Linked DNA regions of Mus musculus: regions 1, 2, 3, 4 and 6 are each reported to be linked to region 5. The links are microRNA targets in miRTarBase. Many come from high-throughput screens and were not tested one by one. Region 5 holds a microRNA gene; each other region holds the end of a gene's coding sequence. Distances are between the middles of the regions.

Region 1 (5,075 bases), not on the chromosome of region 5:
ATCTGACACCCTTTTCTGACTTCTGTAGTGCACAGACAGACATGCATGCAGGCAAAACACCATACACATAAAATAATTAAAAACATTTAAAAGAAATTTTAAAAAATTGGAAGAAAGAGGAGGGAAGAGACTACATGTTCTTTTCCCATAAAATGATGGGAACTTAGATGTATCACCTCTCTTTGTTTTTAGCCAAAATTTGACCTTATGGCCTCACCTAGCTGCAAAGATGCCTGAGAAGTAACAGTTTTCCTCATCCCCTGCCACCATGTATGCTTAGCTGAAATAAAAGAGGAAAACAATGCCTCTCAGCAATGTGTGCCACACACAGAAGCAGTTCCATGTGTGATACTTTACTGTATGCATGTGGACTTCTATACATGGACTACATGGGATCCATGAACTGTGTTTCTCTGTTGCAGGTTAATCCGAATGGTCCAGCCTGGTGCTGGTGGACACTGGCGGTTCTTCCTCTGGAAAGCAGAGCTCAGCTTCCCTTCCTAGCAATGAGGTCCTTAAAGGACAGATTGAATGGTATTCGGCGTATCCTGGCCTTTATATCGAGAAACCAAAATTAAAGGGACTGGATTGTGGAAGAGGAATTTCTACCCTCTCCACTGCCCCGAGGCAATGTTCTTGTAAACATATCTAATTGCAATAACACCTTAACAGAAGAGAGTACCCTAGATAGATGTTGTTATTCTTTTTGACCACACAGAAATGAGGTAGAAAGACCAAAAGGATGTGACCTGTTTGACTTACTGTCTTCAAATGCTTCTTGAAACACTATACTAACACACAAATAGCAGAAGTGTGAAGAAGTCAAAAAGAGTTGATGTTTAGCATCAATTTTTCTGAAGTTAAAAAAGTGAGTTGTTGTTCATAGCTAAATGAGTGTGTGGTTGAAATGTCAAGCAGAGATACTAATGTTACTGCATTCTTTCACTGACTTGAGGTCTCATTTCAAATGGTTCAGGTTTTATAAAGCATTGTAAAAAATAATGTTCATACTTCTTTCTGTTTTAATAATTTATTTTTTGCACTACTGCGTCGTTTTTCTACATATATGTTTGTAACTATTTAAGTGTACATTACTGAAAAGTCCATTGCTTTATTTATTGATGTGGCTTACTCTGTAGGGAGGATAACAGTACTAACCATGTGCAATGTTCTTTCTTTACTCAGTTTTTGTTGAATTAATCCCAGTTCTTGTTGGGCTTTTATATATACATAGTTCAGGTCTATTCTAGTGGACTAAGTTTAAAAGAACTTCAGAAGAATTCTAAAGTAATTCATCTTCACAGATTCCACATTTTCAGTTTAATTTAAGGACTAGAAAAATGCTTAATTGATTTGGCATAAATTGTGGGATATACCAAAGTAAAGTAAAAGAATCCATTTTCCATGTGTAATACAGAATAAGGTTGAAAGACATATTCAAGATCAGAGAGATGAATTACAGGTGTCTTTTTATTACAGTCTACTACTATAGGTATTTATTTCAGGCAATCTAATTAGAAAAGTATTAATTTCTCCCCAGTGCAGTTAGGGAAGAGATTAATATTTACCTGTATTTTCAGAGGGGATGGCTTTCAATTTGGCGTGCCTCTCCCCTATCTTCTGAGTTCTGAAGTTTAAAACCTGTACCAATGTGTGCTGGAATACTTGAGAGACTGTTCTTAAAGTGTGAAGAAACTGGATAGGTTAGAACCCCTTTTAAATTACTATAAAAGATCCAGAGAATGAATCCATGGTTTTATGTAAACACTGCCTTCCCTCCTGGTAAAGATGGGCCAAAGATTTCAATGCAGGGGGAGAAAAGACAGTGAAGAGATGGGAGTAAGTTTCTGAGCTTAGTGCTAGTCTGAGTCCTTCGGTGTCAGAGAAACCTGAAAAATGGAGTGTGGGAGTGTTATAGTGGCAGAGGAGAAAATGAGAGTTAGGAAAAGTGAATTGTCAGATTTTGTTTCTCATGCAAACTACTCCCAGGTGATTTTGGACAACTATGGTGTGTTATTCACGTGTAGGCTCTCCATTCTGTTAACAAGAGAGGGGGTTCGAAGAAGGAGAGAGATTGCTTCAAGGATCAGTCTAGGTTCTTCTATAACCACCAGAAACATGGAAGAGGTGGGGCTTGTGTGTGTGAGAGAGATGGTCTCTAAATGCTATAAAAGAGACTCATGGAAGCAGAAAGCAACTTATCACTGACAACTTGCTTGATGGAGGCGGTGTTGTCAGAGCATTGCCAGGTCTGTTTGGAATAATCTGGGCTGGTGAAGAATGATGCAAGTGTAGGGAATGTAAATAAAGAAGTAGATACTATCCAAGTTAAGTCTAGAGGGCTCGGAAAGCAGGACATTAAGAGGATTTTTCCCTGGCACCTGATACCCAGCCAGCCATGTGATTATAGTGAAGTCCTAGTATGACTGCTTCCTATTCTATAGTGCAAACACAACAAAGAAGAGCAGAAGCTTCTCCACTTACGACATATGTTACTTTGGCAAGTAATTTAGCTTCCGTTGAGTCCCAGTTTTCTTATATATATGAAATGGTACTTGTGCTCACATCAGCAGTACATATACTAAAATTAGAATGAAACAGAGATTAGCATGGCCCCTTCACAAGGATTGTAGGCAAATTTGGATAGTGTTCTATATATTTTACTAAAAGATGAAATTGTAGTGATATTAATAGTATATAGGCTTGCTAGGAACATTAAACGGGACATGTAAGAAATTACTTAACAGTACCTTGATGTTGGGAGCTATTTGGTGAACTATAACTATTATCAGCCATGTTGCAGAATATCATCAGTGGTCTACAGTTGCATGAAGCATTGCTTTTACTTGTAATTCTCATTTGTACCCTACTGTAAATCCAAACCACTGATTCTTGGACCACAACTTGATAGTTTGCAAGTGACTCCTATTGGAGTTAAGGCCAGCAAAGTAGAGCTGGGGATACATCTCAGTTGCTGACATGGCATGGGGCGCTGATTCTCTCTCCAGTTCTGTAAAAAATAAAATAAATGTAGGGAAAATTAAAATACTGGAGAGAAAATGAGGGTTAGTTGTAGGGACTAATTTCTATGCCAAGAAAACTGTTCCCATTTTAATTAGGGCTAAAAAATAGTGTCGTATTGGGGGACATCTAGAGTTCTTGATAAAATGGGAGCCTTAAGTTCTGGTTCCATAAGAATAACCAAAACCATCTCTCCCTCTTTTTCATATATTGAGAATCTCAACTAGAACAATTAGATTTCAGAACAATTAGATTTCACCATCTATGGAGTTTGCACACAGCCAATAGTATTTCTTTCTGCTGCCCCAAATAACAGGCTCTACAATGATGTACTGAAAACCTACCATGTACCAGGTACTAAACTGAGTGAGTGATCTCGATCTCCCTTACCTGAACACATGAAATAACCTTTTAAACAGCATCATTAGATATATAGATAAGAAAACATAGGTAAGAAAACAGAATGGACAATTTTAAAGAATATGCCTATGTAACATGTTCAGTGAGTGGCCAAGCTTGATTCTGTACCAACAATGTGACAGATGTTTGAACATTTTGTGTTATGTATGTTTCACTCAGTAGGCATGGCAAAACCCCTAAGAGCTCAAAATGAGGAGTTCCAGGTGAAGTCAAATGAAGCCGTCCAACACATCTCTTACTAATCCAGGGGGAAAGTGGATTTTTGGCTTCTTGATACAATTCCTTTGATAAGAGAATACCCAAGAACAGATGGAGATCTTTGCTAGGCTAAATAGCACTTTCCTCTGAGCCTGGATCTAGATTGGGTTGTTCTCCAGCAATTATAGTAACGGCAGGATACTAGGCTTTGACTTTCTTTGGGATGTACATAAGTGGGCTAATCCATCGAACTTGACCACTTTTAACACCTGTGGATAGGTTCTGTTTCTAAGCTCAGACATGAGACGTACAGAGATAAAAACTATATCTGAGTTGGAAGGATAAGAGTCCTCCTTGTAGACAGTGCCACTTTATTGGGTTAGTCTTTCTTTCTATCTTGAATTCATGACTGACCCAGACCTTGTAGATTATTCTCTCTCTCTCTCTTGTCTGTGTGTGTGTGTGTGTGTGTGTGTGTTCATGTGTGCACACACACAAAGAGACCCTAGGTAGCAAGCAGACTTTATGCCTTTCTGCTTTGTACCGTACTATTGCTGCTAGCTAAAAACCAGCAAAATGTAGAAAGTGAAAACTGAAGAAACTACTTTGCAGTGGATAATTTTAAGAAAAAAAAAAGATGCTTGCTCCTCATTTAGGGGAGCAGAGAACTATTCCAATAGCATGCCTTTTCTGAAGGCCACGTGCTTCGAGTTCCGTGCTGCCTCAGTAGCGGGATTGAGTTGTGATGGCGCACGTGGCACTGCCACCTCTGCCTGTGGAGCTGCCCTGGGTTCAGATAATCCCCTGTGAGTAGCCACAGAAGCCTCAGAACTCCTATGGCTGGGTCACTGCACCCCTGTCAACAAGTTGTGTCCTGTTGATAGACTGCGACCCCCTGGAGCCTGCATTCCCTGTGCCAACTCCATTTTCAGCATGTGAATTTTAGCCATAGATTCATCCCTGAGTTCCCAGCTTGTGGACTGTGTGTCCGTTTCAACTCCTCAAGGTAGAAATGGGCAGGCTGCAAGCCCATTCTTGGGTCTAGGGAATGAGGTTTAGATTCTGGATAGAAGACAGCTCTGAAAAGCATATGCTTGGCTTTCTGGCATTTCTAATGTTCAGCGGGCAGGAATGCAAAGGAGCCATGCACAGTGTACACATTCAATTCCTTTTAGAACGATAGGTCCCATTCAGTCTACTGCTTTACTACTTAATAGTCTGGATTGTGCACATCCAGTGATGAAATGAAGAACTTTTCACTTACAAGTGGGTGTTTCCAAACATGTTAAAATAACCTCCAGAGAGAAGTGCCTGGAACCACTGTTCCTGGTGTCACTTTAAAGCTTTTTGCTTCATGACTCTAGCATTTAAAACCTGTTTGCAGCCACAAATGTGATTAACAGAAGTTTACAAAGCAACACTGTACCTTATGCATT
Region 2 (5,075 bases), 8.9 Mb from region 5:
ATCTTGTGCCCCAGAGATTAGCTGAAGGGCAGCTTCCCCGTTACAGCCCTTCCCCTCGCAGCCCTCCTCTGGAGTTAACAGCGGCTCCCATCCCTCACCTCCTAGAGTCAAGGCGCTCTAGCTGGAAGGCTGCGGAGTTTCTCTATGCAAGACCTGCGCTCTATCCCTGACACCCCTGTCCCCACCTACCAAGATCCCCTCTACCTGGAAGACCAGGTACCCCGACGTAGACCCCCTATTGGTAAGTGGAAAGAGGGGGAGCTGACCTCTCTGAGGACTAGAGGCAAGCTGGGCGTGACCCTAGGCTTGTATAAGTGCTCAGCTTTGCCCTGCGGGCCTCTCTTTGGCAGGATACCGGCCAGGCGGCCTGCAGGGCAGTGACACAGAGGATGAGTGTTGGTCAGACAATGAGATCGTCCCCCAGCCACCTGTTCGGCCCCGAGAGAAGCCTCTAGGCCGCAGCCAGAGCCTTCGGGTGGTCAAGAGGAAGCCATTGACTCGAGAGGTAAGTGTGTTGGAAGGACGGCATGAGGGGGGTGTGGATGGAGCTGCAGTGCCCACACCACTCAAGGTATACTGGCTTTCTCTTCCCAAGGGCACCTCACGCTCCCTGAAGGTCCGAACCCGGAAAAAGGCCATGCCCTCAGACATGGACAGCTAGAGTCTGCAGATTGAGGCCACCTTACCTCTGGAGCCAGCAGGGGACCTTTCGCTGCTACACCAGCTACCGGGGTTCTGCTCCGTCTGGCTTGTGCCTAAATGGCACATGGCGTGGTACCCTGCACAGGGAGACATTCACTATACCAAAGCAGCCCAGGCCTGGGGCCTATTTATTGCCTTCCTCTGCCTTTTACTTTCTCAGACACGGGACCAGAGCCCCACCAGTCCCTACCGACGAAACCAAAAGTCCAACCAGCTGTGTTCATTCCTTCTTGTCCTTCAAAATACTTGACAGCCTTTTCCAAGGCCTGGTGTGTGTGTGTGTGTGTGTGTGTGTGTGTGTTTACGTACACTAGCTGCATGTTTCGTGTTGGTGAGTGAGGTCAGGCTTATGAATATTTTTATATAAATAAATACCAAACAGTGTTTGGCCTCTCCTAATTTGTCTCTTCACATCTCATATTGTAGCTAACAACTCACTGCAGGCTCTGGCAAAGGGTGTAGAGACTGCTGGAAGATCTCTGTGCCCCATCCCAGCAGCAGTATTCTTACAGTTGCTCCTAGGGATCCTTGTGGAGTTAGGGTAGAGCCTGGTGTATTGGCACAAGCCTTTGATTCCAACATGGTTGAGGGGGAGAGGGCAGGAGGATTTCTGTGAGTCCAGCATGGTTTACATAGCCAGTTCCAGATCAGCTAGGACTAGAGAGACCCTGTCTCAAAAAACAAAAAACAAAGAGTCAGACTGATCTTGAAGGGTCAGTCGGGAATCAGTACTTACAGGAAGAGGCAAAGAGATGGGGAGCCTATAGAAACTGTACAGAGCAAACCTGAGGAGGCAGGCTAGGTCTTCCATGAACCTAGAGGAGCCACAGTTCAGTGAACTCTTCCTGTAGACATTCAGATACGATTAGGGTGAATTTGCACTCTAAGCCACAAGAGGGCAGCAGCTGCCTAGGGCCAGGCTGCCCCCACCTTCCAGGTCAAAGTGGGCGGGGCTCAGAGACGAGCCAACGCCTCACCCTGCTGGGGCCTGGATGCTGATGGGGCAGGCCAAAGGAATGATGATAGCCAATGATAGCCCTTGTCTGATGCTTGCCTTCTCCATCCATAGAGACCCAGGCGCTTGCCCTGGGTTGACTTTAATCCATCTCCTTTGATCCCTGGGTCATCTGCCCCTAAAGTAGGAGGCACGTTGTACCCAGGGTCCTCCCTCCTCCCACCCCATCTGTCCTTCCTTCCCACTTCGGAGTCAAGAGTGCTGGTTGGAGGAAAACTATGAGCTGCTAAATTGGAGTGTCCTGTGAGGATTAACTCTTGGTGTAGGGATTATCTGGGTTTTATTGGAGGGGAAGGCACTTAATCTGTGTGGCTGATTTAGCCTGGCATGGACTGGGGTTCAGTGGCTTTTCTCTATGGCATCCCCTCTGTATGTGATGCTGACTCTTACTGCCTCATTACTTCACCCAAAAGATGTGTTGCTAGGAACTGTAGGGGTGAGGAGACAAGGAAGTAGCCGCTATTACTATGATCCCCATTTCCCAAACAGGCACACAAAGGGCAAATGATTTGCCCAAGGTGGACTAGCTAGTAAGTGGCAGGATTGGGCTTTGGACCAGGCAGTCTGGCTCCAGAGTTGATGTTCTTAATCACTATTCAGTAAATGGGCTGTTCCTTGCCTGGGGGCAGGGGCAGGGAGAAGGAGTCTGGCATGTGTGGGATATTTGTTGCTCGCCTGACCTTGTGCTGAGCATTTCAGAGCTGGTTTCTTTGAATCTTCGCAAAGGGCCTGTTGTCCATCTTACAGGTGAAACGGCTTTCTCCTCTATAGAGGTGCTGCCCGAGAGGTGGGCAAAGTCACTTGGTCCTCCTGGGAGGACTGCTGAAGCCACTGTGCCCTGGCTCTGCAGAGCCCACCTCTGCCCTCCCCCGGCCTGCTTTGTTCTCCTACTCCAACTCATACACCTGTCTCAGAACCCTCTGCGCGCATGCCTCTGCCTTGCCTAGCCACTCACGGAGAGACTTCAGCCTTATTTTTACTGTTGTATCCCAGACTACATGGTTGAACCAAGGTGTGATATTTTTATAACTGTGTGATTTGTTGGTGAAATCCTGCTTAGTGTCTAACTTCTGCACTGAAACGTCACCCCTTCCTCTGAGAAGCCTCTCTCACTCCCCAGCATAGGATTAGAAGTCGTGGAGTCACTTGTCACCACGGTCATATCTCTAACTGTGGCTCCCAGCCTCAGCTCAAGGCCTGACACCCATCCGAAGCCTGAAAGAGGATTGTGACTAAACCAACACATACATCAAACATCTTAAACCTCTTCAGGGTGGGAGTGAACTTTTGCTTTGGTGGCTGTGCCGTGTCACCTTAGTTCCACCACACAGCTTTCAAAACACCAGTGTCTCTGGTATGGCTTGGTGAATGGCTGGGTAAAATCACATGGTTACTAAGCATCCTGAGGCCACAGAAAAACAAATGTGTAGAAGGTCCAGGTGGTAGGCATTTCTGGGCAAGCATAAATGTGAGCCAAGACTTGGGGCACTGGGTAGCAACCTGGACATCCCTCAGAACAGCTCTGAGAACTACCCAAACACACCTTCACCCAACACTATCCTCCCCTGGAAAAGAGCCCTGGACCACCACTGATGCTCTGGCCTGGCCTCTTAAAGGGAGGGCATCTGGTCTTGTTCCTACTTTCCAAGGACCACCAACTTTCTACTTGAGACCAGTGTGCCTGGTCTCCTCCCCAGATAGGATCAAGGTTGGAAAAGGACCTGACACCAGAGACCAGTCCCTAGCACATACCTTCTGTGAGTTCTGGTCCCACCCCCACTCCTCAGCTTTTCCTACTCTTCCTGGCCTGTTACCATGACAGCCGGGACTTCCTCTCACAGTCCTTTCTCTCTCCACTTCACCTCTTGCCATCCTTTTTTAACCCTCTGCCTCTGACTCCATCACTGTCCCTCTGACCTGTGGCCCTTCATTAGCCTGGTCACTTTCCCCTTCTCTGGATTCTGTCACAGCACACAGGATCCTGTGGCTTTATTTTTAGCTGCCACTCCCAGCAGCATCCTAAGCCTCTGGGTCCCACACATGCAGCCCTAGCCCAGGCTGAGTTAGGGGTCCTGGCAGGCACTGGAGGAGCTCCAGGGGGTAACTGTTCAGGTTCACATCCCCATTTCTCACCCAGCATCTGAGATTGGTGCCCACTAACAAGCGACCTTCACCGCTGGTTCCTAGGGTTGGGGGATCCTGGGGGCAGAGCTGGCATCGTTGCACACACAGGTCCCAAGTTCAGCCTGGAACACAACGCAGGCTAGATGGCAGTGGGGGAGGGCTAGAGAGAGGAAGGGCTCCAGAAGAGGAATTAGGTCAAGGATGTGGGTGGGTGGGCGAGCGAGCAGAAAGGACAGCATCTACCCCAAGCTTCCTCCTGGCTCCCGCAGCATCTCCACACTTCCCTTCCCTGTCCCCTCCCCCTGGTCCTGGGAGATTTCTTCGCCCTGTATCCCCCTTCCCCATGCCCCCCCACCCCAAGCATGGCCACAGGGGTGGGGGTGGGGTAGGGGGAGGCCAGCTTCAGCTGTCTGAAGGATGGAGGGGCTGGGGAAGCAGGGCTAGGTGCCCAGACGGCCGCGTGTGTGGGAGGGGATGTCCTCAGATGCCCTCCACCCGGCAGTCCCCGCTCTGACGTGGGTGCCCCCCCTCTCCCCGCCCGGATTAGTGGCAGCTTGGCCTGACTCTCCGGGGCTCCTTCCCCCGCCCTGCCTGCTGCCCACCCCTGGGCAGGGGGCTACTCTGCCTGAGGGGTACTGTGCTTGCCCAGGTAAGGGTCTCTGGGGTGGAGAAAGGGCAGCCGGCTGTCAGAGAGTCTGTGCCTGTCAGCAACGAGTGTGTGTCAGCATGTGTGTCAGTTTGTGAGGGGTCGGGGTGGGTGAGGGCTGGGCCCATGTGAGTCTGGGGGTGCTAGTAAGTTTGCCAGGTCCATGATCTGGTCTTGTGACCACACACTGGGTGGCTTCCCCCCCCCCACGAGCGCCCTCCCCCGTGTTTGTGTCTTTTGTGTATGTCCTCAGCTCTGCTCCATCCTCAGGCACAGCACAGCCAGCTGCAAGGACTCTGGCCTGTGGCATAGGCTCTAAGGCAAGGATGGGGAACGTGGTGGAGTGAGGGCAGTACTTCTCCTCACCTTCATCTCCACTAACCCCTAAGCATTCCAGAAGACTGTCCTGAGAGCTCTGGTCTAGCCCAGGCAATATAATCTGACAGGCAGATATGGCGACTGGAGGTGCGGGGGTGGGTATCTGTTCAGCTCCCCTGACACAGTCCCTATCACCTTAGGGGAAGACAGCCACAAGCCCCCAGGACTCAGGACAGCCCCGGGTTCCACTCTGGCCACTACCAGGCCTCA
Region 3 (5,075 bases), not on the chromosome of region 5:
TGCCACAGTGCACTCGTGGGGTTAGAGGGTAATTCACAGAAGTTGATTTTCTCTACCAAGTGGGACCTGGGAGTCAAACTCAGGTTGTCAGGCCGCGAGGCAAGCACCTTTACTGGCTAAGGTATCTCCCCGGTACTCCCAAGAAGTCACCCACCGAAAGAACAGAGCAACGCCTGACACAGCCAACTGCAGCTGGAATTACGATGGCTAACCGAGAGCTGGGGAAGTGCTGTGTGGTGCATGGACCTCACAGAGTCTGCCTGCAGCAGCACAATGCCTTCTGGCATGGTATTGATCTGCAGTGGCGGCAGCGGCGGTGGTGGCAACAGCTCTAGCGCCCACATCATGCAGTCAGATCAGGGTGTGTGTGGGATAGGCTCAGCAGCTCTGCAGGCGGTCTTGGGAACCTGGCTCAGGAGCACTCTGGGTGTGAGCTGTTGGCTCCAACCTGAGGGTTGTAGGCCCTCTCTCCTGGCAAGCTGGGCCACACAGGGTATATGTAACACTTCATCTTGCTCAGACTTCACTTGGAGAGGCCCAGGAATGGTTCTTTTGTCTCCTCCTCCTTTCATCTGAAGTACCAAGTCACTTCTCAAAACATGCTGGTGGGGCTAAGGTTGGCCCCACTGTGGGCCTAGTTTTATCACCCGACTGCCTGTTGGGAAGGAGGGCGCATGTGCGGGGCCAGCCTGGGCCGACCTAAAAATGACTGGGGTAAGCTTACCGGGTTAGATGGATACATGGGTGAAGAGCTGGGCATGGTGGCACATGCTTGTAATCCCAGTGTTCAGGAAGCAGAGGCAGGGGGATGACAGCTCAAGGTGCGCCTAAGCTACATGAGACCCTGCCTCAAATACAAAACAAAACAGGCTACAGAGAACATAGGAAGGAGACTGAGCCAAGACCATGTCTCCTTAAACCATGTCTCCTTACAGATCAGCCACATGGGAGCTTGCCCCCACTGTTGCAGAAAGTATTTAATCTTGGTCTGAGGTTTCTACCCTGACTTTGTTGTTTAGGTTCCTGGATGAAAGACACAAACAACCCTCATATTCACCATAACCTTAAACAGTATGAAAGTCAGGCCGTTGTCTACCCATCTATGCTGTTAGGATCTATTTCCTACTGACAACCCCAAGTTATTACTATATTTCATCTGGGCTGTTATTTTTGTTTGTTTGTTTTCGAGACAGGGTTTCTCTGTGTAGCCCTGGCTGTCCTGGAACTCACTCTATAGACCAGGCTGGCCTCCAACTCAGAAATCTACCTGCCCCTGCCTCTCAAGTGCTGGGGTCAAAGGCATGCGCCACCACTGCCCGGCTATCTGGGCTGCTCTTAACTCCAATTGGCCAGCCCACGGAGCCATTTTTTTTTCCTCCTAACCCATGGCTGCTCTCATTCCCCCTCCTGCTGCCTTCTTTTCCTCATGGTCCTCCTCCAACCCCAAGCCCTCGAAACCCAAACTTCACCTATGTCTCTTCTGCCCCGTTATTGGAATCTCTATTTTCCAATCAGAGTTAACATGGGGACAGGGTCACCTAATGTCTTCAGTGGGGACTCTCTTGTCTCTGGGACAACCAGGTTTTGGGAGCCCGCACTTAGCTTTACAATAGATAACAAAAGACCAAATCTCAACCCCCCAGCCCACCTAGTCTGGAAATATCCACCAACTAGAGGGGGCACATGACCACACACTTAAAGAGACGATTTATTGCATAACCAGTGGGGCACAGATTCCAGAAGGATTTTACAGGCAGGGACAGTAACTTCAGGATGCTGAGAAGCCACCAGAGGAGGAGGAGCGAGGGGGCTTAACACCAGGTATGCAATGCTCTTTTCTCTATGCTGCACTTTGCTTTGTAAGAGCGTGGGTGATAGCCAGCTAGGACAAAGAAGGAAAGGAAACTGCACTGCGAGCCCACCGAAGCTGTGGAGGATGAAAACACGCGGCTTTCAGGCTGCATTCCATGATGGAAGTCACTGAGGTCAGGGCAGAGCCCCTGCGCTGTGCCGTTAAGAGTCCCGAGTGCACGCAACACTGGACTTCGTCTTTGGCAAGTAAAGACCGTGGTGCTGAGGCCACAGTGCCTTCCGGGAACGGAGCTTGAGGCAGGGCCTGCTCCATTAATTGTGTCTTCATCCTCTCCATCTTAGAAAGTGGGGTACACAGGTGGGAAGGCAGAATCCCAGAGAGGGGAGAGAGCAGCCAGATTGGATGCAGAGCTCACTCCTGCGAGGCGATGAGACCCACGTGCAAAAAACCCAAAAACGGCCAGGGCGAGCTTTGAGACAAAACGCATTTGCCCACAGGAACAGTATGCTCTAACCCCAGCCAGGTCTCAGGAGGGACTGTGTGGGGCCCCTCCTGCTGTCTCCTCAGGCCTCCACACAGGGCCTTCAGCCTGAGGAGGACATGGGACTGACTGGTGTTCTTGAGAGCGTCTGGAAATGCTGTACTGGCCCCGTGTTCTTTGATTTCTCAAGGACAGCATTCTTCTTCGTGACTTAACGGGACTGCACCACTCCACCTCTAACAGTTCTCTTCCCGGAAGCTTCCAACAGAGGCCTGCTCTCTCTGGGGATGGTGGGAACCAGCTCAGGCTGGAACCAGCTCCAGGGAGCCTGCCAGGAAGAGCAGTCATCCTTGGAGCACGCAGAAAAGCTTGTCAGAGAGGATGCCTGAGCTCACACTGGCCGGCCCCTTTCTAAAAGGCCCTGCTGGACATCCTCCAGCACTTAGGCTTGTGTGTATCGATGAGTGGGCAGGCCCCTGGAGCGCTGAGCCTTTCCTCCGAGCTGTGAGCCTCACGTTGAGGTGATGCTGTCTCCAGGATGCATTGGCCATGTTGTAAGAGGGACTATGAGGCAGGCTCAGCATACTGAGGTCACCTCACTTTGGTCGTTCTATGGGAGACTGATGCTGCCTTCCAGGGCTGGCTGACAGGTTCACTCATGTGCAGGTTACAGACCCCAGCGGAGGCTGAGATGGGCAGCCTGTTCAGTGGGCATGTCTGGATTGACTGTCCACATTTCTGATTAGAAAAATGTCATGAAGCCTGGCGGTGGTGGCGTACGCCTTTAATCCCAGCACTCAGGAGGCAGAGGCAGGTGGATTTCTGAGTTCCAGGACAGCCTGGTCTACAAAGTGAGTTCCACGACAGCCAGGGCTACACAGAGAAACCTTGTCTCGAAAAACCAAAAAAAAAAAAAAGAAAAGAAAAGAAAAGAAAAATGTCAAGAAATAACTCAAACTTCTGGTTCCTTGAAAAACCAAAGCACTGGCAGCCACAGGCTACTTTTCTACAGCTGCATGAGGGGTATGAGTGGGACAAGCTGCTGTCCTCACAGGCTGGGTGGGGTCCCTAGCCGCCCTTGGCTGTCTGTGCACCTGGCTGGCAACATAGCCACTGCCTGCTCCCTCAGGTCAGGGCCAGAGCTCCACCCAGGCAGAAGCGATCGACAAAGTGCCTTCAGCACAGCGAGCGCCAGTGCTGCGGTGGCCTGGGTGTCAACCTCTGCCCTTGGGGAGCTGTGGGGGAGCTGCCACCAGCTAGGGCACACGGGGAACTCTTCGTGCAGCGCCACAGGAGTTCTAATCATGAACTACCCGTGAGGGGATGGGGACACGGAGGCCCTGCGTCTTACCTGGGAAGACATCCTTCCAGAGGAGCCGTGTGGAGGATGTCAGCAGCACGGCCTGTGAAACTGACTCAGGGTTCTAAGTAAACTGTCTGGCTTGGCGGGGAAGCAGGCCCCTGACAGTGGGCGGTGCTCCTGCTCTGAATGTGGCCGACTGGAAGCTGATGTAAAGGGTGGATTTCTAACTACTTTTTTGGACATTATGGAGACATCAGCATGATGGTAAAATCTTTATAGATAGAAAATCAAGATAAAAATATTAAATAAGACAACACTTAACATGATACAAGAGTTAGAAATGGATCCGCTCCTTGTCACTCCCAAGAGATGCGCTCTCTCTAGGAAGTGGGAAGCTCTGCTCCTCGTGCACATGGAGAGACCCCACAGGATGGAAGGGAAGCTTCCTGATTGACTGCACGATGCTTGGAAGGGACGGATGCTGCTGCTGCTGCTGGGGTTTTTGTTTTTGTTTTTAAATCCAACTTTCTTATCTCTTAAGAAAATGTTTTACTAAAAATATCAATTATAGCTTTAGGCATGGGTAGAGATTGTAAAGGACAGGAAAGTTGTAACACACTTGGAACAATGACTTTTGAACACATGGGGTCATGACCTAAGCACTTGGTGACAATCTGACAGGACAGAACTAAGTTGCAAATAGGCACAAATAAGGCAAGGGTTAAATTACAGTCAAAAATCTGTTAGAAAACATGCAAAAAATAATACTGAGCTTTCTTTTAAAAAGTCTGAAATCATCATTAAATGTTTTGTAAAAATCTGAAGAGTTCGTGTATAGTCTATGGGCAGGCAGACAGCACCCGAGCTCAGCTGCTGTTCTCTTTGGTGGTGATTGTGACCAGCTGTTTGGCGGCCTTGGCGATGTCATAGGCACACTGGATGACCTGCTGTGTGACCAGCTGCACATCTGTGGGTAAGCTGGAGTCTCCTGGGAGAGCCTTTCTGCACTCCGACTGGAGCCGGTAGGCACTGGACGTGAGTAGGCGGAGGGAAGTCCTCACCGTGTCAGACTTGGGTTTCTGAAATGAAAGCAGAGCCGTCTGCTGGGGGCTGCAGGGTGTGGAGGCAGCAACATGGAGTGAGCCAGTTCCCAAGAGCAACCTGAGCTGCCCCAGAAAGTCTGATTGCTTTCAGCTGGGTATTTTATTGTTTTTTTTTTTCGAGACAGGGTTTCTCTGTGTAGCCCCGGCTATCTTGGAACTCGCTCTGTAGATCAGGTTAGCCTCTTGCCTCGGCTTCCCAAGGCATGCCCCATTACCACCCAGCTAGTTGGCATTTTAAACATTATCAGCTTTGCAACTCGTGGCCTACGAAGAGAAGCTTAGGTGCTATATCCTAAACTCCATTGCGTTGCCTTGCAGTGCCTGACTTAAATATTGATGTCTTATTAAACCCATGTTCCTGCACAGTGAAAACAT
Region 4 (5,062 bases), not on the chromosome of region 5:
GGACAACTGTTGTAGACTTGAGGACAGTATCAACTTTACAGTGAGTTAGTTCCAGGCTAGCCTGGATTATAGAGACCTTTCTCAATACAAAATAAAAACAAAAGACACAATTTATTAACATAAAACCTTCATGTTCACGAGCCTACAAGGGATGGTGGAATGTGGTGCCCAGCTGCCAGAAAGCACAGATTGGAACCAAGCTATTTATATGTTGTAAAGTTATAATAAAGTGTTTCTTACTGTTTGTAAAACAACAAAAAAAAACAACCTTCATGTTGGCTATGCCTCTCCAGGCAGAAAAGACACACTCCACATATTCACTGAGCCAGATTCTGTTTTCTAAATTGGATGTGTGTGTTGGTATGCATACAGAGGTCAGAGAACAACTTTTAGAAGTTGGTGCTCTCTGTCCCCCTTCAAGTTCTGGTTTCCCATTGGGCCATCCTGTCAATCTCAGATTTCCTGTCTTATCACCTATGTAGACAAGTAACTGGACTTCTACTGGACACATTTAGGAAAGGCCAATGTATAAACCAGAGTGATTAATCCACAGATTTCCATCAAGTATCTGGAAGCTCTGGCCTATTTGCCTAGGTTTAGAAGGATCATCTTCAAACTGTTTGTGCCTCTTTCTCCCTCCTTCCCTGTCTTTAAACCCCCTGTCTTTCATTTTACTTTCAGGTCATTAAGACCAGTGTTTTCAACTATGGCTGAGGGTTTAGTTCAGTGATGGAATACTTGCCCAAAATACCAAAGTCCCTGGATTGGAACCTCTGCACTGAGAAATGAAACAGATGATTTAGAGCTGGACAGACCTCTATTGACTCAAGGCCAGTCTCACCTTTTTATTTTTAATTACATATGTACATGGTTTTGTACATGAGAGTGCAGGTGCCCAAGAAGGCCAGAAGAGAGAGCTGGCACTAGAAGTGCTCTTAACCACTGAGTCACCTCTCCAGCTGACCCACTCTTGTGTATTTGTCCTGAGTGTCTATATATCATGTGGGTGTGTCCAGAGTCCAAAAGACAGCATCGCATTGGGTTCCCTGTGAACTGCAGTGTGGATGCTGGGATTCAAACTTATGGACCTCAATAAAAACAGAAAGTGCTTTTAACTGCTGAGCCATCTCTCCAGCCTGAAAAAGCAAACGTTTATTTCACAAAATAATGATATATATCCATGTTGTGTATTGGGCATAGGATAAAATATATTAATGAGTTCCAATTTAAAAATCTAAAAACTACTTAAGAGGTTAATTTATTGGTAAGTAGATAAAATTAGTATTCCAACACACCCCAAATAATTTGTGTATATTAAAACAGTTAAGAGCTAGAGAAATTACCCAAGGAGCTAAAGGGAACTGCAACCCTATAGGTGGAAAAACAATATGAACTAACCAGTACCCGGGAGCTCTTGTCTTTAGCTGCATATGTATCAAAAGATGGCCTAGTCGGCCATCACTGCAAAAAGAGGCCCAATGGACTTGCAAACTTTATATGCCCCAGTACAGGGGAACGACAGGGCCAAAAAGGGGGAGTGGGTGGGTAGGGGGTTGGGGGGGTGGGTAGGGGGTTGGGGGGGTGGGTATGGGGGACCTTTGGGATAGCATTGAAAATGTAAACGAGGAAAATACCTAATTAAAAAAAAAAACAGTTAAGTCAGCAAGCCAGATGTATCTCCAACTTACAAATAAGTTCTAAAAACTTACTTGACAGAGATTTTCTCAAAATTAGTTCACAAGGCCATTTAAATAATGTGGGTTGACTATGGCACTTTAAATTGTGTATTTGGGGTTTACTGTATCCCGGGAAGACTCCCTATACCCACACAAGATCCGAGCATCACGTACATCCCCTTGGTGAAGGTGAATACCCAGCATCCCCCGGCAGCCCCCAGGTGTTCAGGACTTCAAAGAGAGGGAGCAGGGGTTCTAACAGCCTTCATCGGCCTGGACAGACCATGTAATCTTCAGGGATGGCCATCAGATGGCTTTCTCCCGACCCAGCTCCAACACAAGGCAAAGCACAAGCATAAAGCACTCGGCTGCAGAAAGAGATGTCACCAGCAGTGTGTATTTCTTAAACTTTTACTCATTTTTAGAGACTATGGGCTAAACAGAACAATGCAACATTTCTTTCAGGTTCCAAAATTGAAATTTCACAAAAACATTACCGGCTTTAATTTTGCCGACTCACTAGTTACACCAAGTGCTGTTTCTCACTTATCTGTATTCTTCTCATAAGCTCAATGTAACAGTTCTGTTACCCGTGCGCACACAGGTGACAGAGAGCTGGGGCTTCTGGTACCTTAGCTTGGATTCAGACACTCAGGTAAAGCAGTGCCACCATAGCTTAACATTCTGTACTTTTGCATTTTCCATCTTCTATAAGAACTTACTGTGTGTGCACAGGAATGTGGTGGATGCGCTTATGAGCAGACATGGGAGAGGGAAGTTGTTCTCCATCACTCTTCCTGCTCCTCCCAGGAAGGATCTACCGACCCTGCCTCTCCCCACTGGGAACTGGGATTACAGATGTGAGCAGGGATCCAGCTTGTTACAGACACACCTGGCTGAGACTAAAAGTCAATCCTGGCCTCACCACCCAACCATCTGTCTCTCCAGGTTCCTGTTCTAAGCACACCCGGGTGGCGAGCTTGAGGACACCTTCAAATGCCACATTAGCTATAGCATCACTCACCTGGGGAGAGAAAGTCGCCATCCAAGCAGGACTGAGCCAACAGAAACAAACCTATCCAAGGCCCTTAAAATTCCTTTAATTTTTTTTTACTTATTACTAATTTGGTCCATCTGTTGGTTTGTGCAAGTATGGAGGTCTGAGGACAATTTTGGGGAGTCAGTTTTCGCCCTCCAGTGTGGGCACTGGGGATCAAACTCTGGTCAGGTAGCTATTTTGTTTGATAGGCCGGGATCATAAATTCTCAGGTAGAATTCTAGCACCCAGGTTTTAGTAGTGTAGACAGGATCAACTTCTGGGCTCTTTTGGTTAGACCAGCTGCCTGATCCCGGCATCACTGGCACAGTGCTTGGGGGGGGGGGGGGTCTAGGCTAAATAAAGGAAGGGGTCCCTGTGTAGTCTGCCTTGAGGAGGTTACAACACCGTTTACCCCTGAATTGTTAGACCACATGCTCGCTTTCAGGTTTAGGCCACCTGGTCTCGGGTTGGCTCAGCCATTTCAGTCCCCATCACAGGCCCAGCTTCCATAACGAAGGTCATTTCAAGTCTCAGAGCAAACAGGTTTCAACAGCTACAACCTCTGATCAGCTGCCCAGGCGTCCCAAGAGCAGACGTGTACGTTTGTATCTAACATGTGTGCAGCTTTTCTAATTTTATCTCTCTCTTTCTCTCTCTTTTTGTACCAGAACAACTTTGGAAGGTTGAGGCAGAGAAAAGAGGAAAAATTATCAGAATATACTCTAGGTTCTGCCAGTCTTTTATTACGTCATAAAAGCAACACTAGGCACTAGATCTTGCAAAATGTGCTCTGACCAACTTTCTGAAATTGACAATGCATAACCACACCTGTAAGATTTTTAATGAACAAAAAAGTTAAATACAAACTTTCATATGCAAAATAGATGCCTGTAAACCTGGCAACCTCAGAGCCAAGTACTAATCTCTCTCCAAAGGCTCAGTGGGGCTGGAGTGGGGCATGCTGATGAGCCAAGAACTTAATTTCAGCTTTATATATATATATATTAAAAAAAAAAAAAACTCTGAGGAAAAATAGGCTTCCATTGAGGAGCATCTTCAGAGCAGACAGCTCAGGCCAGCCCTTCCCTGGTGAGGCTCACACACTCACTCACCAGACCTACGACTTAACATGGATGCTCACAGTTACTTTGAATCCAGTTTCAAGAGGAAGCCAAGCTACTTCGGTTCTAGAAAAGAAAGTCTCTAAGATGCGCACGCCCCGTTCTGAGGATGCACAGATCGAGTTCCTTGGCCACATTTCCACGAACTGTGCCCGTGTCATAGCATCAGACTCTCTAAAAGGCAGCCAGATCCTACAACAGAGCATCGTCATTTCTTCTGGCATTTTCAAGCCTTAAAAGAGAGAACCTTAACTGTATGTCGGCAGTTCGCACTCCAGCATTAGAGAAGCTAGCGAACACCTCCTTCCTCCCCCTGCTGATATCTCTCTGCAGCAGGAAGTGGCAGTTTGATTAACATTCTTTTCAGAAATAAATAGTCCAAATTATTTATAGCTAATTATAAAAGAGCAGTGGGAAAAGGGCACTGCCCAATGAGAGAGTGAATTCGTGTGAACACACAGAACAATTCATATAACAGATCCTGCATTTCCCACATTCATATGGAAATAACGCTTTAAAACAAAACACATTAATTAGCATTTGTTCTTGTATGGGGTGAATAGTCCAGGGCTCTGAGCAGGCACAGCCTTAGAAACAGGGTTTCAAGCAGCCCCTCCACACCTCTAGTCAGGGCCATTGTGGAGAGGCCTTCATGCACTCTTGAGAGCTCAGTACCTGTGAGAGAAGAGAAATGATCGGGGACTTTTTAACCCACAATGCATGAGGTATATGGAAACATCCATCAAAGAACCACCAGCAGCTAGAAGACCAGGCGGGGCATTGTCACAGCAACTGCTGGTGAAGGATCTCCCACACCATCTTCTTCCGGAAGAGAGGCATCTGGTGCTGAAAGGAACGACAGTGTTATACACTCTTGTGTGCAGCACGACAGCCTTTAGGTGTCATAAATACAACAATGCACATGTCCTCTACATAAGCTTCACCGTTTTACATCATGCACATGATTCTTTTTTTTTTTTTTTTTAAGATTTATTATTATATCTAAGTACACTGTAGCTGTCTTCAGATGCACCAGAAGAGGGCATCAGATCTCATTACAGATGGTTGTGAGCCACCATGTAGTTGCTGGGATTTGAATTCAGGACCTTTGGAAGAGCAGTCAGTGCTCTTAACCACTGAGCCATCTCTCCAGCCCCCATGCACATGATTCTAAAGCACAGTGGGATTTATTTCTAGTCAAGGCGGCCTTCTTGAATTCCTATCTT
Region 5 (5,075 bases):
AAGCTTTAAATTTTGGGGCTGGAGAGATGGCTCAGTGGCTAAGAGCACTGACTGATCTTCCAAATGTCCTGAGTTCAAATCCTAGCAACCACATGGTGGCTCACAACCATCTGTAATGAGATCTGATGCCCTCTTCTGGTGTGTCTGAAGACAGCTACAGAGCTGGAGTGAGTGGGCCAATTGGAGCAAGCAGAGGTCCTGAATTCAAAATTCCCAGCAACCACATGATGGCTCACAACCATCAATATAGCTACAGTGTACTCATACACAGAAAAAATGCTCCAAAAACGGAGTCTATAGTTAATTAAATCAACTTGTTAAAACTTACTTAATTTTACCTTTAAATTAGAATTGAGTAGTGGTTCTTTTGAGGACAATTCCTTAAAAAATAACTGAAATACTTTTAGGATCTCCACAACACACGGTAGAATTAATTATGAACCTTTAATCTGAAAAGGTAAGAGACTCCTTGTAAAAAGTAATGACAGAGTTAGAGGACATTATTGTGAGATAATGTGTTTTCTTGAACATTTTAAAATAATGACGTAAAACATTTAAAATAAAGCACATGGGATAGTTAAAAGAACATTTCCGGGCTGGTGAGATGGCTCAGTGGGTAAGAGCACCCGACTGCTCTTCCGAAGGTCCGGAGTTCAATTCCCAGCAACCACATGGTGGCTCACAACCATCCGTAACGAGATCTGACTCCCTCTTCTAGAATGTCTGAAGACAGCTACAGTGTACTTACATATAATCAATAAATAAATCTTTAAAAAAAAAAAAAAAAAAAAAGAACATTTCCTTTGAAATAATTAAAATATTCTGAATATATTTATAAAATTAATGACTGTTAGCTTTAATCTGAAGTTAAATATTAAGGCACAGATGAGATGTCTTTCATACTTTTGACTTATAAAAATCTCCTGTTAAACATTTTAGTGAAAAATAAGAAAAACAGTAATTATTAAGTTAGAAGATATAGGATTTATACCCTAATATGTCATAGGTTGCAAATTAAATTTCAGATTGTTTCCTCAGTTAACCAATAAAAAGGTCAGCTATTCTAAGGATTCTTCTAAATTTAAGTTTAAAAATTCAACGTACACATTTTAGTGTTATTCTCCTTCATTTAAAATGAAATATTTAGGCACATTATACTCAAGATTATGTTATAATCTGTAGCATTTCAAACTTTATCTGTATCTAAAGAAAACTTCAAATCAAGAGAAAAGTATTTTTCTATTATAAGTAATAATATGAGTTTAAATTCATGTACAATTTGGTACTTCCTAAACTCTTTCAAATAAACTTTTATATGGAAATGCTGGAAAGAGAGCTCGAGCCTTGGTGGTACTGGGTATATTCTGTACCACTGTAGCTCTCAAGAAACTCTGGAAAGGTGTTCAAGACTTAAAAATACTTGTTATATTATTAGTCAGTGCTCCATCTGTGGATCCAACCAACCACACATTCAAAACATTTGGGTGGCCAGGCATTGGGGCCTACAGTTTTAAACAAAGAATTTGGGAGGCGGAGGCAAGAGGATCTCAGTGAGTTTCATGGCAGCCTGGTCTACATGGTGAGACCCAGGCTCAAAAGACCAAACCAAAAAACTTATTTCTTGGACAAAAACTGCATTAGTACTGAATTGTACAGTTTTTTTCTCATCATTAAGAGAATAACTTGAATAATACAACTATCCATGTTAACATCCCACTGCACTACACATTAAAAACAATGTAGAGATAAGTTTAAATAAGTATAAGGGAGGATATGCACTGGTCACGAGCAGACATTTTATACAGGAGATCCAAGCATTTACAAATCTGGGTATCTAGAAGTCCTATAATCAGTTCCTCACACAGAAGTCATTATGTTTTGTTTGTTTTTAAAAGACAGATCCTTACATAGGTCTTAGACTTGCTTTATGGCCAAGGATGATGTTAAGCCTCTAATTCTCTTTTTTCCACTTCCTCAGATCTAGGATTACAAGTGTACCTGGTATGCAGTGGTAAGGCTAAAACCCATGGCCTTGTGCATGCTAGCAAGAAGCACTTGGCCAACTGAGCTGCATTACCATCCCACAATTATATAGTATTTTAACAGACACAATATGTAGAGCGTTGTTACTAACATCATTACAGAATCATACCAAACATAAAATCACTAATGCAATTAGAAAAACCGTGTAAACACACAAGTAACATCAATACACATTGAATTACAGTTGTAGAGTATTGCCAACCTTACTTCAGCAGCACAGTCAATACTGGAGGTAATTTCAGAATCTTAACGCCAATATTTACGTGCTGCTAAGGCACCGCTGACATTGCTATCATAGGAGCTATGAATAAAAAGACAGGTACTCTCTTCAGAAGATCAGGTCCTTGTATTTTGAGGCAGCACAGTATGGCCTGCACCTTTTCAACATCCACAAACCATTATGTGCTGCTACTTTACTCCAAGGGTTGGTTTTGAAAACTCCTAGCACCTCAATAGTAATTTACAGAAAAGGCTTTTTAGGAAAAAGTAGAACACATAAAATCTATGTTTGAAAAAAATCTAACACTGGTATGTGCATAATTTTATAGGCTTTCAGCAGAATAAAAAGTATTTCCATATCATAAGTTTAATAAAAGCGTACAGAAAACTTAATACAGTGCTGTAATTTATTGTAGTCATGAAACGAGAAAAGCAAGTCATTTTCCCATACCAACTTAAGAACCTCATTTATTAAACTAACAACTTTTGAATGTGCTTAACACATGAAATAGCTACAAAAGTTGGTTTTTACCTTATTAAGAGCAGCACATCTTTCAAAGCCAAATCCATAGGACAAAGCTTCATGTTAAAGGAAACATGTAAGAACAAACATGTAAGAGCTCAGTTTCAAGAAATTTATACTAGCAAAATATTTAGAAGACATACACATGAAACATATTCCCCAAAAATATATAACCCCCAATCTACACATGAACACAAGATTTATCTCAATATTGGAATAGTTATTGTGAGTTCAGTGTCATTTATTATTACCCAGAACATCATCTTAGGATAACAGGTCTATTTGGTTTCCTAAAAGGATATATCAGAAATCCTGTAGCTCAAGCCTAAGTAACCATTTGTGTGTTTCCCAGTTAAAAAGGCTAGTCCTTTAAAGGAGTATCATTTTATACCACAGGACTTTGACTTAGCTGAAACAAAATTTTTACTACGTTAAGTTCCAACTTCATTTTATGTGTGTGTGAATATCTAGGTTTTCTTACACTATTAAGAAGACTCTTTTCTGTTTAGTGGGGGACTTAGCCATCCCTTCACAAAGAACTGTTCTTATTATTCCAGTTCATACCAGATTTTCCATTCAAACTAGATTACTGTGTAGCAAATGTTTTCTAGTGGGTCAATGCCATTTCTCCATTCCCGTTCATGTTGGGTCATTTGAAATATCAAAACGTCTTTAAATCTTCAAACCTTTGCTTTCAAGTGTGCCAGCTTAAAAAAAAAAAGTCTGAAAATAAAGATAAAAGCTGCTAAAAGTGATTTTGTCCTTTATCTTTATACAATGATTATAATTTCAAATTCAGTGGTTTTTTGAGAGAGGTTTTGAGGACAGTGGCTGCTGTCCTGCAATTCATTCTATAGACCAGGCTGGACTGGAACTCAGAGATCTATCTGCCTGGTTTCCCTCCTGCATGCTAGGATTAAAGGCGTGCACCATCATGCCCCGTTCCAAATTCAGTGGTTTATATTCTGGCCTAAGGACCAAAATAATTTTTCTTTGTTGGGTTTTTACATAGTTCAACTTTTTACTAATGTTCTTAAAAGGAAAAAAAAGCCATTCTGAAAAGAAAACAAAATGTTTTGCTTAAGAAGGTAACTTGAGTGTACATAGGAATACATGGCAATCTTTAAATACCTGAAATTAATATTATTCGTATAAGAAAACAGAATTTTACAACAATTTAAGAAGATAGATCAAACCAAATTGTCCTATTTCCCCCTTCAACTCTATTTGTTTCCATTAATATTTTTCTTTAGAAACATTTACTTTTTACCTTATAAAACTTCTAATATTAATTCATCTTGTTTCCATAAAGCTTAGCACTTCACAAACATTTATAGGCATGTTGCCCAAGCTATATCATCATCTTGACTGCATCAGAATAATGGGATACTTTTTGAATTTAATAATAAGCAACCAGTAATTTGTTGGAGCACAATGACAGAATACAGAATCTGAGGTCCGAACCCTGACACTGTCCTTTGAGTGTCTCCCATGGCTGTTATTCTAGTACACTGACCCTTTCTGGTTCCCTATCTGCAAATGAACCATTAACATACATATAAGCCTTTGTAGGACGCTTCTGAACCATAGCCATCTTATGAAGTTGTCTAAGAACATGGAGAAAACACTACCAGGTTTAAGTTCTGATGACAGAGCAACAATTCTCAGGGCACAAAAAATCTACTTAAATAGCAAAGCTAAAGGCATGAAATACTGCAACAAATTTGGGAAGTTAAAAGCTGGGTATGTTAATATCTTTGATGTGGCAATAATGCCACTATAAAATCTTTGGAACTGTTTCTTCTCTAAACATTTTAAATTCCTAGTTCTAAAATTTGATATGTGAAAAGTGACAGAATCATTTGTAGGGCATACTACTAAATAGTTAAAAATTCCATTTCCATGTGATTTTTTTCTAGGAAAATGAGCTTATGTAACATATTTGAAAAAGAAATTGTTCTAACAACAACAACAACAACAACAACAACAACAACAACAACAACAACATACCCAAATTTTATTTAATGGCTATGAAAGGAAAACTAAACTGATTGTTTAGGCCAAGTCAGGTATGGTGATCACTGACAACTGAATATGTATTTCAATTTGCTCATTTTTTACATGGAAATTTTTGAAATTCAAGTTGCAAGGCTGCAGAGTTACTCAGTGGTTAAGAGCATTTTGTTGCTGTAAAAGACCCAGGTTCAGTTCCCAGCACCCACATGGAGCCTAAGCACTTCCTCCAGCACGCACTGCAGACATACACGAAGGCAGAACACTCATACTTTAA
Region 6 (5,075 bases), not on the chromosome of region 5:
TCAACACAAGGTTGATATTCACCTGTATGGTTGGACAGGTTATACATGTCTTTAAATATTATAGAACCAGCAGAGATGGAGAAAAAAATCATCCTTTTCTGATGTATTTTCTGCTAGTATTTACTCATTTTTATTATGAAAGAGTATTATCAGAAATTTATAACTTACTTACTATATATCAAATATTGAAAATTTAGATCTAAGCCAGGCAGTGGTGGAGCATACCTTTAATCCCAGCACTTGGGAGGCAGAAGCAGCCTGAATCTATAGTGTGAATTCCAGGAAAGCCAGGACTACACAGAGAAATCTGTGTGTTAAAAAAACAAAAGCAAAAATAAATATGAGGGTTTGTGTGTGTGTACAAAAGTCAGCTGACTTTAGGATCTAGTTCCTTCCCCATCTGTCAAATCTTAGAAGGGGAGGGTGGTGAGGTAGAGAAGGGAGGCCCATCAACATTGCAACCATGTACAGAATAGTCAGATGAGACTTTACTCAATCCTCATCTATTCCTATTTAATAACATGTACAGATTGCATACCTTGCTTCGAACTATGTGAAAGATCTGCTGCAGCAGTATGGAGGGTATGGCAGGACCATCATGATTCCAGGAGCTACTGCACATTATCACAAACTCCATACAAAGGAAGCTTAAATGAAGGGGCCTAGTAGCTTGATAGCTTAGTAACACAAGCCATTAACCTACAATCACTTTGACTTTTCCTCATATTGTAGGTATGAGCCTTCTCGTGAGATGAAAAGTCAGTGGACAGCAGTCTGGGTGAAAATCTCTTCCAGTTGGATTGGCCTTGTGCTGTACGTGTGGACACTAGTGGCACCACTTGTTCTTACAAATCGGGATTTTGACTGAATGGGATGTCTGGCATGAGTCCCACTTTGGCCATTGTCTATTTGACAGTAACAGTATTCCCAATTTTTGTAAAGTTGTATGTGCTGTTGTGTAAGTGTAACACTGTTTTTCTCTTGCATGAAATAGATTTACTCTGCCAATTTTATCCATGTTCTTGCTAAGTCTATTGATGATATGAATTGGAAAGGGAGAATTTTGAATATGGTGAGAAATTGGGAAAAATGGACATTGATAGGCATATCATCTGCTTTGTGTACATATGGTATTAAAACTGAAAACAAATATTCTTGACATTTGGGTTTCAAAATTGTGTTAGCACTTATTTTAGAAACATTAATTAAGTGTATGGCTGCCTTTGAAATACTTGATGTGTTGTTGTTGCCTTACAGAGGACTACAAGTATAAAGCAAATAGCTGTTTTAAAATTATGTAAATAAGTCACAGGCTAGTTATTTGAAAACTCTAAGTCACTTTAATTTTGTCAGAATCTTCTCTTACTAGGTAGGCCCAGGATGTTCCATAGTTAGTGGAAAACAGTACAGGAGGTGGAGGGAAGCTAAGCAATAGACAGGAGCCGTCACAGGAAGTCACTGGCAATACGGGTTTAAAGCAGGTACTTAGATCACGGTTTTCTCTGTAAGAAAATATGGCCGTCACCCCCGCCCACCAAAAAAAAATGATTTGCTCTTTGTGAACACACAATTATGAATTTCATGGCGATGTTAACAATTCTGCATTTAGACAAGGTTTTGCAAAAGATATTGTGTTAGAAAAATTTGAAACTAAAAGCTTCCCAAACAAAATGGGAAACCTTACAGGACATAAAACATTAGGCTCGGGTTAGGCACTAAGATAAAGTCTAGTCCAGTTCTCATTTTAAAAGTCAACTAGCTCTAAAGCTAGTTAGTGACAAAGTTGGATACCAAAAATAGCCAACACTATGACATAAAAACTTTGTGTTCAAAATGTACAATTCACTTTATACATTATTAATAGTAGATAAATTTGTGTAAAATGTATCGCTGCTGTCCAGCATGCTTTTCTTCTTTTTATCCAAACATGAGGCCAGGAGGATAATTAACTTGAGGAATAGACAACTTACATTCACTACATATTTAATCATGCTTAAAATGTTTGTATTTACTGCCATGCAATTGATATAGTAAATCGACTAGAAAATTAGTATGCCACTTAATTAAGATAAAAATGCTTAGTTATTTATGTTAGTATCTAGCTTTTAAAGAACTACATGTGTCTTTAAAAGTATTTATTGTGCAAATGTACTATAGCAGTTCATCTTCATGTTCCAGCCTTACTCTGTGTTAATACTGCTTCACAATTCTGAATGGCTGTGTTCTCTTAAATAAATGCATTCAAAGAAAACGTGTGGTGGTAGCATTACAAATGTAGGTGGCTTTCTTCCTTCCACAGGCCTTTTTTTCCAAAGGTTGTGGCCAGCATTTTTCTCTGGCCAACAATTTGTCTCAGGATTTCTATTGCTGTGATAAAAGTGACCATAAGTCATTGGGAAAGAAAGGTTTATTTCTTCTTACAGTTTGAAGTCCACCATCCAGGGAAGTTAGGGCAGGAACCAATGCAGGGCCTCGGAGGAGTGCTGCTTGTTGGCTTGATGCCTATGACTTGGCCTGCTTATTTTTATAGAGCATTCCAGAACCACAGGCTCAGGGAGTAGGAGGGATGAAAACTACCTCAATTGGCTGGGCTCTCCATCAAGGTGATGTAAGAAACTGGTCATCAGCTTGCCTACTAGCCAGTGTAATTGGAACATTTCCTCAGTTGAGACCTTCTATTCCCAAATGACTCTAGCCTATTTGATAAGATCTTCCTATCCATGAATCACTACATTAACTTTTGATCTCCACAATAGATCACAAGAAGACGTAAGTTTATTTTGGCTCGTAAGTCTGAAGGTTCCAGTACACAATTAAGTGTCCTTATTTCTTTGGAGTGTCAAAGTATCATACCAGTGAGGATCCATAGCAGAGCAAGATTCTGGACTCTCACAATTTACTAGGATTATATAATCTTCAATGGTCTGCCCACACCCATTCCCACCTTCTAAAGTTTCCTGGGAACATGCTGTCTGTCCACATGGGAACATTTGACATCCAGTTCTAGCAGTTGCCAAACTTTGGTATATTTTACTTGTAAATTCTTTATAGAGTTTCTAGAGTGTATAAGCAAGCAATCTCTGTGTGAGAGAGAGAGGCCAGAGAAGGACATTGGAGTTAGTACCTGGAGCTAGTGAACTGCCTGATGAGAACTGAACTCTGGTTTGTAGCCATTACAACTGCTTCTAGCAGCCAAACCTAGACAGTGGATGTCTTGGGTGAATGATTACACATGGGGTGTAAGCTAAGTAGTAAGGAAATAGCTAACTCAAATCCTGGGTTAGTGAAAAGTCATGACATGGGAAATGGCTTGTCTGTAAAATACTACTACTCGTAGCTTGCTTTTACAAACCAAACTTTAACCCGTGACCAACTTAATAATAGACTTTGAGAACATTTAGAACCATACACTCATTCTGATCACTTTAACCAAGCCAGTTTAAGATTAATCTTACTATGCTTTGGTACCCACGGATATGTACCACGTTCCCAATTCTCCCTTTGTGGCCCATTCATCCCTTGAATCAGCATATAATACATGTATATAGGATATGGTGGCTAGACCAAAGATTATTTGCTGGAAGCAACTAGAGATGAAAGCAACACTTAATTATGTGCGGGGGTTTTTTTTTTTCTTCTTCACAAATACATATTTTGTGGAATAAACATTTTCCTCAGAGATCAAAATATTGCATCCTATAGTAGGAAGCTCTTAAGTAGGAAGGAAAACTCAAAATAGCTTCAGGAAGTTCCTGAAACTGACCAGATTCACTAGGCCTGTTCCTGCTAGAGTGAGTACCCAATTAAAAGGGAGTCAAGCTTCGAAGACTATCAGATGAGATAAGCCCCAGCTGCCTGGAAGAAGTAGAAACCTGCTGATTTAATAGGTTTAAATTAACTTGGAGTCACTTGCAAAGAACACTCACTCTCCACCTTATATCTCACATTCTATACTTGCTGGGCTGTTCAATAGTAATGATCTTTATACAGGAGGAAAGATCTGAACTCTTCTCAACAAATCAGGCCCAGACTTGGATTGATGGCACCCAGGGTTACTTTATACATGTCTGTACTTTTCTGATATTTTCGTTTCAGAAAAAGTAAACAAGACCTGATGAATAGAATTTTAATACAGAATTATGAAAGACTTAAAATACTTAATATTTACTATAACAAAATTTATATTGTTTGTGATAGCAAAATCAAAACTGATGCTCAAGAGCCATTATTAAACTTTGAATCTTGTTTATCCCAGTAAAAGAAGTATTTGTGGAAAAAAAACAAACCTTTGTTAAACAACTCAGATAATTCTTTTACCAGTGAGCACTAAAAGCTTTAACAGACCAACCTAAAAAGCTCATAATCAAGATGATTAGTCTAAAGTATGCAGGAGGGATGGGTGGCTCTCCTATAAGCTGATTTTGAAAGCCAAGTCAGTTCCTATTGTGAATGTAATTTTAGAAGGTGTGTACTTCTCCAGTCAAGGAAGGAAGCAAGCCAGTGAAGAAATACAGACTGGAGGACTGTGAGGAAGGTCAGAAAAGTCAGGAATGCTAGTCTTCATTTCTCCTGCAAACTTATTAGAACTCTTTTACCACTTAGAAAGAAAATTCTAATACCTGGAGCACAATATGGCCCAAAGAAGCATTCTGGAAATGCCTTATCGCATAATTGTACAATTTAGGTATTAACCACACTGCTTCTAGCCCTTTGCCAGAATAGAGACTTGTCCAAGTTTTAAAGTACCCTGGCCTTAAAGCCTCTCCAGTTCTTGAAAGGGACAACTTGATTTGATTCTCTTGTCCTATATTGCAGTAGAAAACGTTGGCATTTGGTGGCATCCAGTGGTAATGTTCTCATCTTATTTGCAACAATGAGAAGGAATTTTTCTCTTGGTTCTTTATTAGAAACATAGAAAGCAAGCCAGTATACTTTTTAAACAAAGAACATTAAAACACATTAAGGTCAGAAGCATCATATTCCTCCCATACTGCAATACACAGTCTCCCCCCGCCCCTCCCAGGTAAAGCACAAAGACCCTGATGTGACTCACAGTGTGATAATGGACAACACAA

What was found. The annotated mature microRNA mmu-miR-15a-5p reads UAGCAGCACAUAAUGGUUUGUG and lies in region 5 at 2,433-2,454, opposite strand. An mRNA with a match to its seed (bases 2 to 7 or 8) in the 3' UTR can be bound and repressed. Matches are read on the target gene's strand: a 7mer-m8 pairs with bases 2 to 8, a 7mer-A1 pairs with bases 2 to 7 and ends in A, and an 8mer does both.
Region 1: miRTarBase lists Lonrf3 as a target of mmu-miR-15a-5p. Seed matches in the 3' UTR shown: 8mer at 4,192-4,199.
Region 2: the mRNA of Reep4 is a reported target of mmu-miR-15a-5p. Seed matches in the 3' UTR shown: 7mer-A1 at 712-718.
Region 3: the mRNA of Git2 is a reported target of mmu-miR-15a-5p. Seed matches in the 3' UTR shown: 7mer-m8 at 3,687-3,693.
Region 4: miRTarBase lists Senp2 as a target of mmu-miR-15a-5p. The part of its 3' UTR that is shown has no 7-base or 8-base seed match.
Region 6: miRTarBase lists Serinc1 as a target of mmu-miR-15a-5p. The part of its 3' UTR that is shown has no 7-base or 8-base seed match.

Annotation. Positions count from the first base shown.
Region 1 is chrX:36,361,342-36,366,416 of GRCm38, forward strand. It overlaps Lonrf3 (LON peptidase N-terminal domain and ring finger 3), which reads left to right. Exons shown (of 11, transcript NM_028894.1): 11 at 423-5,075. The coding sequence ends at 578. LOC115489189 (a small nuclear RNA gene) reads left to right here and starts at 2,558; the gene lies at 2,558-2,661.
Region 2 is chr14:70,547,835-70,552,909 of GRCm38, forward strand. It overlaps Reep4 (receptor accessory protein 4), which reads left to right. Exons shown (of 8, transcript NM_180588.2): 6 at 106-241; 7 at 351-505; 8 at 596-1,101. The coding sequence ends at 661. Among named protein-coding and RNA genes, the nearest start is that of Hr, 3.9 kb to the right of the region's middle.
Region 3 is chr5:114,725,719-114,730,793 of GRCm38, forward strand. Git2 (GIT ArfGAP 2) reads right to left here. Exons shown (of 20, transcript NM_001347400.1): 20 at 1,693-4,676. The coding sequence ends at 4,464. Among named protein-coding and RNA genes, the nearest start is that of Mir7028, 8.7 kb to the left of the region's middle.
Region 4 is chr16:22,046,253-22,051,314 of GRCm38, reverse strand. It overlaps Senp2 (SUMO/sentrin specific peptidase 2), which reads right to left. Exons shown (of 17, transcript NM_029457.3): 17 at 2,046-4,682. The coding sequence ends at 4,620. Among named protein-coding and RNA genes, the nearest start is that of Senp2, 39 kb to the right of the region's middle.
Region 5 is chr14:61,629,643-61,634,717 of GRCm38, forward strand. Mir15a (microRNA 15a) reads right to left here and starts at 2,468; the gene lies at 2,385-2,468. Dleu2 (deleted in lymphocytic leukemia, 2) reads right to left here. Exons shown (of 7, transcript NR_028264.1): 4 at 2,795-2,841. It overlaps Mir16-1 (microRNA 16-1), which reads right to left and starts at 2,330; the gene lies at 2,238-2,330.
Region 6 is chr10:57,512,950-57,518,024 of GRCm38, reverse strand. It overlaps Serinc1 (serine incorporator 1), which reads left to right. Exons shown (of 9, transcript NM_019760.3): 9 at 733-2,251. The coding sequence ends at 868. Hsf2 (heat shock factor 2) reads right to left here. Exons shown (of 12, transcript NM_008297.3): 12 at 4,882-5,075. Among named protein-coding and RNA genes, the nearest start is that of Serinc1, 17 kb to the left of the region's middle.